Linked DNA regions of Bombyx mori. The protein of the gene in region 3 purifies or fractionates together with the protein of the main gene of each other region. This does not show direct contact. Links are inferred from orthologs where the notes say so. Each region holds a gene or a part of one and is shown on either strand. Other genes may lie near its edges. The genes, in order: chromodomain-helicase-DNA-binding protein Mi-2 homolog, histone deacetylase HDAC1 and metastasis-associated protein MTA3.

Evidence for each region.
Region 1: the proteins of metastasis-associated protein MTA3 (region 3) and chromodomain-helicase-DNA-binding protein Mi-2 homolog fractionate together in Drosophila melanogaster (co-fractionation; 3 studies listed by BioGRID, with this or other methods). This does not show direct contact. The link is inferred for Bombyx mori from reciprocal best matches to the Drosophila melanogaster genes MTA1-like and Mi-2.
Region 2: the proteins of metastasis-associated protein MTA3 (region 3) and histone deacetylase HDAC1 fractionate together in Drosophila melanogaster (co-fractionation; 3 studies listed by BioGRID, with this or other methods). This does not show direct contact. The link is inferred for Bombyx mori from reciprocal best matches to the Drosophila melanogaster genes MTA1-like and HDAC1.

What each region holds. Positions count from the first base shown.
Region 1 is NC_085116.1:13,694,281-13,697,127, forward strand, and holds the end of chromodomain-helicase-DNA-binding protein Mi-2 homolog, read right to left. Parts: intron 2,124-2,847; coding exon 1,978-2,123; intron 1,092-1,977; coding exon 1,083-1,091; 3' UTR 1,038-1,082; intron 891-1,037; 3' UTR 630-890; downstream 1-629. UniProt on the Drosophila melanogaster protein: ATP-dependent chromatin-remodeling factor which acts in nucleosome-remodeling by catalyzing ATP-dependent nucleosome mobilization. Involved in regulating transcription. Plays a vital role in development.
Region 2 is NC_085117.1:13,611,243-13,615,510, forward strand, and holds the start of histone deacetylase HDAC1, read right to left. Parts: upstream 2,852-4,268; 5' UTR 2,637-2,851; coding exon 2,588-2,636; intron 2,221-2,587; coding exon 2,108-2,220; intron 2,033-2,107; coding exon 1,915-2,032; intron 1,121-1,914; coding exon 1,020-1,120; intron 295-1,019; coding exon 51-294; intron 1-50. UniProt on the Drosophila melanogaster protein: Catalyzes the deacetylation of lysine residues on the N-terminal part of the core histones (H2A, H2B, H3 and H4).
Region 3 is NC_085131.1:3,800,320-3,804,760, forward strand, and holds the start of metastasis-associated protein MTA3, read left to right. Parts: upstream 1-1,540; 5' UTR 1,541-1,941; coding exon 1,942-1,969; intron 1,970-4,441. Other genes in the region: protein transport protein Sec23A, read right to left, coding at 301-556, 651-929.

The DNA.
Region 1 (2,847 bases), on a different chromosome or scaffold from region 3:
ATCATTAACCATGAAGTTAATGCGAAGGCAGCCGCCTTCTTTAGCAGTTGCCTCCCCGAAGTTCCTCCGTAACCGTACGTTAGAACGCTTGCCGCTAGGGGCGCTCTGTTTCAACTGCATACGAATTTGGGTTAACTTTTACGCTATCGAGAACGTTAAAAAACTCGCACTAAACACACAGGAAGCCATAGACGTCAACAATGTACTGCAAAAAATACTGCCACCCATCTCGAGACACGAGTTCTAAGTTTCAACTTCCTATAGTACAACGGTTGCCCACACTTCAAACCGGAATGCGTTATTTTCTTCACGTCAGGAATAGGCAAGGCAGTGGCTGCTAGTGTTGCTACCCATGCCTTACCAGTAAAGATAAACGCGATAATGAAGGATGATCACTAAGGGCGCCTACTCACTTTGCGGTTAGCCGGAATACAGCCAGCCGAGCGGCAGACCGCAGGACGCGGTTGTGCTTGTGGTTAGCCGAGTGGCGGATAGCCTGAATTTCGCTAACGATATTTTCAAGATAAGCATAATATCTTCCCTTCGTCGTTACCACCAAATAAACATTATACATTATTTTCTTAAAATTCACTTTCTTGTGAAAGCGACAATAAATAAAACACAATTCCTTAACTGTAAGTTTTATTCAGTTTTCAATTTTTGGTAAATTAAAAATAAAGATTTCATAAGTCCACAATTCACTTACACGATAGAAAAGATTCATACAGATCAGGATGAAATAAATAATATTATGAGTTATTTTCGCTATGACGTCATGTAATCTATCTGAACTAATCACAAATATAATTATGACTTCGGAGCCGATGTGGAAACAGGAATCTTCAAAAAAGCTTACATCTAATTCACCTACGCGGCGACATATCCGCTCGCTAAAACAAAATGATACAATAATCACGTTATTGTTTGAGCTCTCGATAATTTATTTCAACGTGCATATCGACCAGCGAGAAAATCTAAACGGGCCGTCAAGCATGTCACTTCTAGCCTAAGAATTAAATTATTATTCTATGTTTTACCTGCGGGTTACGTCAAATCGAATATAGTTGTTTAAATTACGGAGTTTATGATTTCTGAAACAAAACAGACCATTTATGAATGTTATAAATTAACAACAATAATTTATTACATCATCGCATAATTATACACTTTGCAGGTATAAAATCCGATTTATTTGATTGATTGATTTTTTCTAAACAAACATTGCAAACGGTTATTGTTCTAATGAATTATAGCTTTATATGTGACATCTTTTCAGAGAACTTTTCTTTAATATTATCTAAAATTCTAACATACGGAAATGGAAAAGTGATCGAATCGTCTAGAAGTGATTTTTACACTACGTGAATCCGAAATTACAATTACACATCTCATTCGAGTTAATGTATCATGATCATAATGATAGTTAAGTCATTTGCAGTATAATTATTTGATATTATTGTAATATACTCATCAAACTATTTAAACTGTCACGATTAATTTGATTGAGAAATACTGATATCAACTTCAACATTTTATTACCATAAGGGTCCGTTCACAAAGATATGAAGCAGATTTTTATCACGTTGGAAACAGAGTTTTGAGTAATCGTAATAAAGTTTATTTTTGCATGTGCACTTTTTTTGTCATTAGCAATGCTTGAACGCGCTGCGTGTGAAATAATAAGAGGAGCCGACCGGCTCTTTCTCGCTCGCGTAACCCATCCGCTTCGATTGCTTGCGCATCCGCTTAACAATCTCTTCCAGCCGGTCTATATGAAATAGTTGGCGGCTCTGCTCCGGCCTATCCCAAACCGTATACGATCCGGTCTGTGTGAAAAGAAAAAAGCGGGCCGATGCTCTCCGAGCCGTGTGAACGGACCCTAATTGTTTTGCTAAATTTGTTGTGAGATTGAACTTCAATATATAGATACTGACTAAAATAATAAACTGATCACAGTTGAGTCAGTCATGGACTCACATTCGAGTTAGAGGATGATGTAGGCTGTCCGGGCACGGAGTACTGCGGTCGGAAGTTGGAGAAATTAGCCGCCGTCGCGGCCGACGCCGCGAACCCGGGGAGCGTGCCGCCGGGCTGGAAGCCGGTCGGGAACTGCGGCATTTGGGCTGCAATACGATTGGAAATTTTATTTCATTCTATTTTTCGTTGTTTAAAACGAACATAAACAGGCAACTTTAACTGAATATCGCAGACAGACTACCTGTTACGAACATATCTGAGAACAAATTTGATGGAATGTGAAACCTCTCATTACAGAAAGAATATATATAAAAAAACCTTAAAGCTAACTCGATCCAATCTCTATTACTAATACTATCGCGTTGTAAGTTAAAAAGGACTGTGTTACTTATATAATGTCAATTGTACGGTCAACATTTTGAAGCATTTTAATCTCATAATTTGCGATTCATTCATGTATGGAAATGGTAGTGCAAGGTAGAAGGGGAAAAGGTCGACCGAAGAAAACATGGTTGGAGTGTGTGAATGACGATATGAGAGAGAGAGAGGAGTGAGTGTTGAGATGACGCCTGATAGAAGAGAATGGAGTAAAAAAATTCGCTGTGCCGACCCCACCTAGTGGGATAAGGTGGAGATAAGGTACTTATTGGTGGACCTCTTGAGAGTCCGCGCGGGTAGGTACCACCACCCTGCCTATTTCTGTCGTGAAGCAGTAATGCGTTTCGGTTTAAAGGGCGGGGCAGCCGTTGTAACTATACTTGAGACCTTAGAACTTATATCACAAGGTGGGTGGCGCATTTACGTTGTAGATTTCTATGGGCTCCAGTAACTACTTAACACCAGGTGGGCTGTGAGCTCGTCCACCCATCT
Region 2 (4,268 bases), on a different chromosome or scaffold from region 3:
AAACTTTAATGTTTTGAACAAGTTTAAATAGAAATAAGTAATGTAATCACCTGTTCCAGGAAAATATTCTCCATATTTATGAAAGGAAACGGTCATTACTCTGTCCGTGGTGTAGAAAGCTTCTTCAACACCATCACCATGATGCACATCTATGTCAATATATAGTACTCTTTGATGGTATTTCAGCAACTCCAATATGCCAAGAACAATGTCATTAACATAACAGAAACCTGACGCTTCAGACTTCTTTGCATGATGGAGGCCACCACCCCAGTTTATGCATATTTCTGAGGCCTAAAACAATTTATTTTTTTTATTTTTTATTAGGCTCACAATACACATCACAAGCTAAAGATACATAAAAAACACAAATAAAAAAAAAACAAAATCTGGCTTGCAACATAAGTTATGTGCGCACGACAAAACTATAAAGTGCTGAATTTGTATATCAACGTTCCTTACAATTACGACAAAACAACACGATAACGAAAACTAATCTAACTTATAGTGTAAGGAAAAAAAAAATTATAACAATAATAAAATCAGTACAAACATGTTTTAATTTTATAGTTATAAATAACTATAAATGAAACCTATATAACTATATAATTATAAAATTAAGAAAACTTGCAGAATCAAATTAGAAATCTCACAAGATAAGAAAAATCTATTGTTTTATTGTTTTAAAATCAATATAAACACAATTTAAGTGTTCTATTCATCTCTGACACAGTATCAGTTAATATCAGGTTGGGGCTCATCTGTCTTTAACCATTTTAAAGTTAAAACACTAAAAAGGTAAAATTATAATAATTTTAACAAATGAAAATAATACTTTCTCATTGGCATATGTAAGTAGAGGATGTAATTAAAACTACTTTTATTGTTTAATGTCATGTATACAATTGCTGTTATATTATTTCTGATTTTTTAAATAAATTACAGTTTTCATCGCCACTAATTAAACTGAAAAACTTGTTTTAACAAAATAAAATAAATAAAAAAATAAGACTAATTACCTGCTTATTCAGTTTTACAGCTGCTGCAACTGAACCCCCAGCAGACAACTGACAAAATTCATACAGGCCATCAAAAACAGGACAATCTTCACCTACATTAACTGCAAAATGTATATTAAAATTAGTCACATTCAATAAGTTGAATATTTTCCATATCATCCCTGAATGTGATCAGGCACTAATAAAGGTATGTAGTTTATAGGATATTACCCATCAGTAGATTGAGGGATAGGTCAAAAATAATTTGGTTGATGCTTTGAACTATAGGAACTTTAACAAAAAACCAATAGGATTGTACACCATTTTCACCATACTCTTTAAATAAATATGTACATTATAAAGGTTTTCTTCCTGCAATAAACAGCAGATACATTGGTTTCAACTAAACAGGCTGCAGACAAGGAGAGTGCTCATACAGGAAAGTAGTTTTTTTTCTTTATAATTTTGGTATGTTATATCTATACTTATCAAGCAGTGTGACAATTGACTGACACAACTAGATGCTGTGGTATAGTCAAAGATTTGAATTTAGGAATTTTTTTCAGTGTCATAGCAGTGAATCAAAGGAATTTTCCACAATTTTACACAAAATATGCTGTATTCAATCTATTATTTTCATCATCTTTTTATACAAATTATGAATATAGTAAGATTCCACTGTAGTAGATTCACATTATTGTAAGCTGAACATAGTTGAAACTGTGGGACAAATCTATTATAATATTATACACTGAAAAAATATAGTTTAATATAAAATAACACACTAAATAAGTAACTCTACTGTTATATTAGCTTTAACAGGTAAGTCTTCAAGGGTAATACATTTTCATTAAAGCATTTATGAATAATTAATACTTTTTTTAAATAATATTGATAATAATTAGTAATAACTTACATCTCTGCATTTGTTTGTTGTACTCAGAAACATTGTCAGGTCGAATAGAACGCAGGAATCTAATGTAATCATCTGAATGGAATTTTGTCATTTCATCAGCTGTGGCTTTGTGAGGCCTCTGTTTAAAAATATATAATTATAAAATCTCAAATCATTGAAGAACTTACACTTAAAAGGTAATTTCAGTACTCACATAAATCTCCATTTTTCGATAGAGTCCATAGTTGAGGAGTAAATTGTGGGTCATACGTATGCGGTGAGGTTTCATTGGATGCCCTTGTCCGTAATAGTAGTTTCCAATATCGCCTTTAATAAAAATAACACGCATTATTTTCAACTTTTTATTAACATGTTACTTAAATCATTTTACGGCTTCATATTTAGCCGTCTGTACCTCGTACATCGTAATACGAGCAAGTCCGTGTACCCAATAGGAACGCGGAACGCTGTACAGACGTCGTAAAATGAAACAATGAACTGAGTTAACAATGTCATAAAAATCCTAAGACAAGCTTTAAAATCTCTGAAGTTCTTAAAAGAGCTAGGCCGTGTGGAAATTTGTATTTAAAATATGAATACTACGCATATTAATTATTTATAATACAAAAACTAATTCTTAAGTTACTAGCGATGTAATGGAGATCCGTGGCGGGTAAAACTTTATTTTACTTACTGTCATAATAGTAACACACTCTTTTCTTACTGTGCGGTTGCATAGACATTTTTAATTATTTCTTCAACGGTTACTTTTTAATAAAATTATTACAATATACTTAAAAATGTTAAAGAGAAATAAAAACCACACCGCTGTGCTTTAATTTGACAATCCACACAAAAAAACTTCATAAAATAATTGAAAGATGAACAAAATGCAACTTCAGAGTACGACAATTTCATTACAGTGAAGTTGACTGACCTAAAAGTTACAGATATTCAATGAACGAATGAATGAATTGATTAAATTGAATGATTTTTAGTAGATTAAATATAGAAATCAAGTGAAGCCACAGTTCACAGTAGGTAGTAGCATTACAATCATAAGCATGAATTACTTGGCAGCTAGAACAGCCCCTTAGGCCAGCGATCGGCTTGCGGCTCGCATGCTGCTCTTTAGCTCCTCAACTGCGGCTCTTCCGCGAAATGTTTACCTAGTTCAGGCACGGAATATCCCTCATTATCTTATTTTTTTAAGAGAAGAGCAAACACTTTTAAAATACAAGGTTATAAAATTCTGTTAGAAAAATGGTTCTTTGATTAAATTTCAATTGTGTGTCTCTCTATTTGGCTCCCAGGGAATAGGCAGGGGAAAAAAATAGATGGTAATATTAATAGATTTTTATTGTTAGTAGCATTTTTTTTATTGCTTAGATGGGTGGACGAGCTCACAACCCACTTGGTCTTAAGTGGTTACTGGAGCCCATAGACATCTACAACGTAAATGCGCCACCCACCTTTCTAAGGTCTCAAGTATATTTATCTATATTGTTCAAGGTAGCAAGTTCAAGTTCCAAGTGGAAAAGTCTATACTGAGGGAAAATTTTCATATCATCATCATCATCATCATCATTGAATTTATTGGCAATATACTTATGCTGACAACCATACGGTCTACTTGATGGTGTGTGGTCACCACAATACACAACAAAACTTACCTACTGCATTTTTTATATAAAATTTAATAGAACCATTCGTAGAATTCCGCACGTTGCCTCTTATGTTATTAGAAATACACGGTCAACATAAAGGATACGATATTCTAAAAAACTACCACAGCTGAATCTTTATATATATATATATATTCATTTTTTTAGCAATTCATTTATCTATATATATAAAAATGAATTGTTGTTCTAACTTAGTCTCGCTAAAACTCGAGAACGGCTGAACCGATTTGACTAATTTTGGTCTTGAATTATTTGTGGAAGACCAGAGAAGGTTTAAAAGGTAGATAAATATGAAAATGCTCGGAATTAAATAAAAATAACAATTTTGTTTTTCCTTTGATGTGTCCCCGGTCGGGTGAATTTCTTTTTTCTTTCATTGATCGATTGAGGTACTACGAAGTCTGCCAGGTCAGCTAGTTTTAAATAAAATTGTAACAAAATGTATCTTTGGGAATTGAAAGATTGAAGAAGCTGCAGTTTACGGCAAGTGCGTAATTTTATACTCCTTACGTACATTCCTAATTATGTCCAAGGAAATGGTAGAATTCACCTTGGAAGGTAGAAGAAACTTAGGAACTAGAAATCATATTAATATTGTAACACTGAAATTAGTTCACGTGAACTTGTAGCAAAGGTTTCAGGAATTTGTACCTTAAAAATTTTCATTCTTCAATTCAACTTAAGGATGTG
Region 3 (4,441 bases):
CGGAAGATTAAATCAGCTAGTTACACAAGAAAAAAACATAATATATCTGCAATTATAAAGATTTTATCAACTTTTTTCATTTAAATGCTCCTCCTGTAAAGCTACAAATTTGGAGTTAGCGTAGTGTTCATTGGAGGAAAGAAACTTTATTTAATAATATTTATTTAATGGTTAATCATGTTAATTTGATACTTCTCTCAGTCTGCAGGAAGCTTTTGTTCTAATTTTTTCTGTGACTACATATTATATTTTAGATAGAGATATAAACAAAGAAAATAACATCTTAAGCATATTGCTTACCTAATTCATGAATCTGTACCATTTTACCAAATGTTATTAGTCCAACGAGTGCATTTTGAGGCATTAAACTAAGTGAAGTCTGCAAGGAATCTTTGAGTGCCCCAAGTTCTTCCTCATCTAAACAAGTATCAACAACAAGCAGGTAGATTGGGGGCATAGCCTGTGCTCGCGTTATTGTGTACTCTATGGTGGAAAAGTTAGGAATCAGTTCTGCAGGTTGATGCTGTTCTGATATAGCAGCATATTGAGGTGGAAACTGAAATTAAAATATATTGATTACTCTATAAGTACTTTAAAAGAAAAAAACATTAGACTAATTGAGTTAGTGGCGAATTTCTTCAAGTACTCACTGGGTTTCGTTGGAAGCAAAAGTTGCAGACCCATAATTTAGCTCTGTAATCCACCTGGCACATTGGGTTCAATATAGCTCTGCATGTATTTCGTGTACAGAGTACAGGCTCGTACTGTATCGGTGGTAGGTCGGGGCGCTCCTTAAGCGGTTGGTACAAGCAAGCCAAAGGCACAACAAGCCTCGTAGCCTCAATTCTACTTGATGGCCATACGTTCCAAGTGAACCGTATGCCATCGCGGTCTTCATTCTGCTGGATGAACTCCTCGTATGTGGCCATATCGCCGATCTATACGAAAAAGATACATTACAAAAACATCATAAATGCACACAGACTCTGGTAACTTTAGAAGCACTATTAACCAAATGTACGTACCAAAAAGTCATGCGGCGAACCAGTTATAAACACATGAGCAAATTTCTTAAATCACAATATGTCTTCATTCAAAAATCCCATAAATTTCTCAATTTTTTAGAAACCAAGCAGACTGGAGAGGCTGGCTGATTTGGCAGTTGTCAACACCATAGACAAATCAGCTGTCATACTGGCCACGTCACATTTTTACACGCCATCCATCACAACATATAAAAATAATTTAAAATTTTACTATCAAACGAACCACAAATTAATAAATCTTTAAATATATAAATAACATTTTTAAATAAAAATACTTTTAAGGGAGAAAAAAAATAAAAATTTTTGGTTTTCTTTATGGTTCTCTGACGTTCCTTTCCACATTCCAAATTCGAATTAAAATTAATTTTAGATATAAAACACAATTTATTATATTCAGTCTTCAATATACAAATAAATATTATGTTAAAATTTATTTAATTAAAGAAACTTTCTTACTTCTTGTTGAAAAAAAAATTACAGTAAATATTTAATATAATTAAAATCTTGTCAACACTGTTCCCGTTAAAAGAACGAAACGTGGTTGAATGAATTATTTTTTTTATTTTAGGACATCGTAAAATAAATTTTCAATGGACGATATTATTTTCAAACAATACTTTTTATAATTCAAAATAATAATCATTTGGATTTTATTTGTGGACACAAAATTAATGACATGTCATTGCTTTGTTTCAAAAGCAGGAAGTTTACGCCAAAAAGTGCGACTGCGCACTGGCCAAATTAGTAGTGTGAAAGAAAATGGCGATCAGCGAAAGGCGTCCGGAGTTAACGTGATGAAAAACATTGTTAAAAGCTCAATTACATAGTGTTATAGTTATTAATTGTGTCAGATGTAGATTAATTAAGTGTTAATGAATAGTGATTGTGTATAAAAATGGCTGCGAATATGTACAGAGTCGGCGGTGAGTAGCAATAATTGGTTATTTTTGTTGTAGCTTCGCCGGTTCACCGCCAGCCGACTAGCGGTGCTTTGCTTTGATTGTCGTACTTTCATTAATTGCTTATATTAATTAATCCAAACATATTAAACACCCAAAAAATGCCGGTTTTTATGTATCCGTGGAGGTTATCGTGTTTATAACCGTTTGATAAAGTTTGCGGAAAAGTTATATTTTACCAAAATTCGTCAAATCAAATAGGACATTAGCATTTACGTCTAGGTATCATTGTATCGGCTCGTGTATCTGCGTGCGGGCGGTTAGGCATGAAGCGTCTTTAGTTACCTAACTGAGATGATAGTTTTTTAGAATAGTTTGATGATTTTGACGTGAGATTTTAGGTTATATTCGATGTTGTCAAAACATTTTGATACGAGAGCTGGTTGTTTTTGGGTTATTTGGTATATCTTGGAAGAGTTTAGGGATGATAAGAAAGTAAACAGTAAAAGTGTGGCGTCGCTAGTCATTATAAATTATTGGTTTGTTTGTGTATGGACGGTGGTAGTCGAGGATGTCGGTTGCTGTAGGATATTGATGCCGCGAGTCGCGAGAACAACACGAGCGCCTCATGTACCGCACTCGGCGTCCGTCGCGTCGAATGTTAATTAGCCCTTCCTTTTGTATCACTTCCTATCATGTAATGTAATGCTTCTGTTAAGGTTATGTCTTTGTTTCAAAATTAGCTAATTCTTAGTAAAATAATTTTGTTAGAACCGAGATGGAATGTATTTTATTTAATAATTTCATTAAATGGGTAAATAAATATTACTCTGTGATCAACTATAAATTAGGGATTATTAAAGTTTTTAATTTTAAAATTAAATCTTGACCCGTAGTTTTACACTAACCTTAGGTCAATATAGTAAATCTTAAAATGAAATATTTTTTTCCCTCCAAAACATAAAATTAACAATTTCATTCTAATTACCTATACAACAATTATAAAATATGTTCTAAAGCCAATAAAATTTTACTTTGCTATTAAATCAAGTTAAATTGTCAGTTCAATGAATTAATGTTAATCTTTTGTTAATCTTTTAAACCTGAAAGAGCTATACACTATTTTTTATTACTCTAAAACTACTGCCAAACTGTTCTCATTATAAAAATAATAAAAACATTTTGAAAATGCTGTCAAACACAATTTTTTGCAATCAACACTAATAACATAAACAAACATGCATTTCTTTATTCTATCAAGGCCACCACAAATACTTCAGATGTACTGAAAGCAGTAGGTATGCTCCAATAAACAAAGTTTAATATTGCAAATGCAAAGGATTCAAAATTAAAAGGTATTTTATTAATCCAATGATTGATATAGACCATGATCACAGTGATTATTAAATCTATTCTGGCATAAAAGTTTAAAGGGTTTGTCAGCTGTCATTCAGTGACCCTGCAATTAATGAATTAAAACATTTCAGGGTATCTAGGAAAAGAATTATAACAATACATTGCATTCTTTCAGTTTAAATTAATAGTATTGTGTTAGCGTAGTGTTATTTTAAGTATATTTGTTTGTAATAGAATATTTTGATCTACAACAAAACGTCTCTGCTCTACTCTAGTTTGTTATTGTATCTATTTATAAATTTCTACATATTGCAATTTTAATGCAAACATGCAGATATCTAATATACATCTGCATAATACACAATATAAATTTAATTTAGGTGCTGAGTAAAGAAAATACACTAAAAACACACTGACGCAGTACAATAAGAAACCATAATAATATGATATACACATACAGATATAAATAAATTCAAAATCACTAGGATGATTATTAAAATTTCAATAATGAAAATGGAAAATAGTAGTTTTTTTCAAGTGTTTTTTTATTCAATAAAAGTATAAAATTGTCTTTATCAGTGACCTTCAGCTTTTGAAAATTGATTGAGCTCAATGACCTATGCTTAGTTTTGTCCAACTAAAATACTATTTTTTGTTATATAAGCCAACATAGTATTTTTATGCATATATAAATTTCAAAATATTTAATTCCTTTTTTACGGGAATATTACGTATTTATATAAATTAACACTAAAAGTATTTCATAAAAAAGCATTAATAAAATAAGTTAATTATCCATTTTCAAAGTGCCCATAAATATATTTAATCATACATTATTCTTCTTCTATTTTTCCTGCTTATGTCGCTAATACCTACACTAATAATATCAGTGTTATACACCTATATAATGTAATAGAATTACTGAAGTTCATTTTAAACATAATAAAAATATAACAGTTATCAAGAAAGGAACTTAAATAAAATTAAAATGTGGTGTGTGTGAAAATATGTAATTTAAAACAAATGACCTTATACTATTACATTCCTTTCTTGTCGCGAGCTTGCCAAGTTTTACGAAAATATCTCTAGCAATTTCTTAAAGTACTATATTTTTTTATTGAGTTAATAAATAAGATAGAT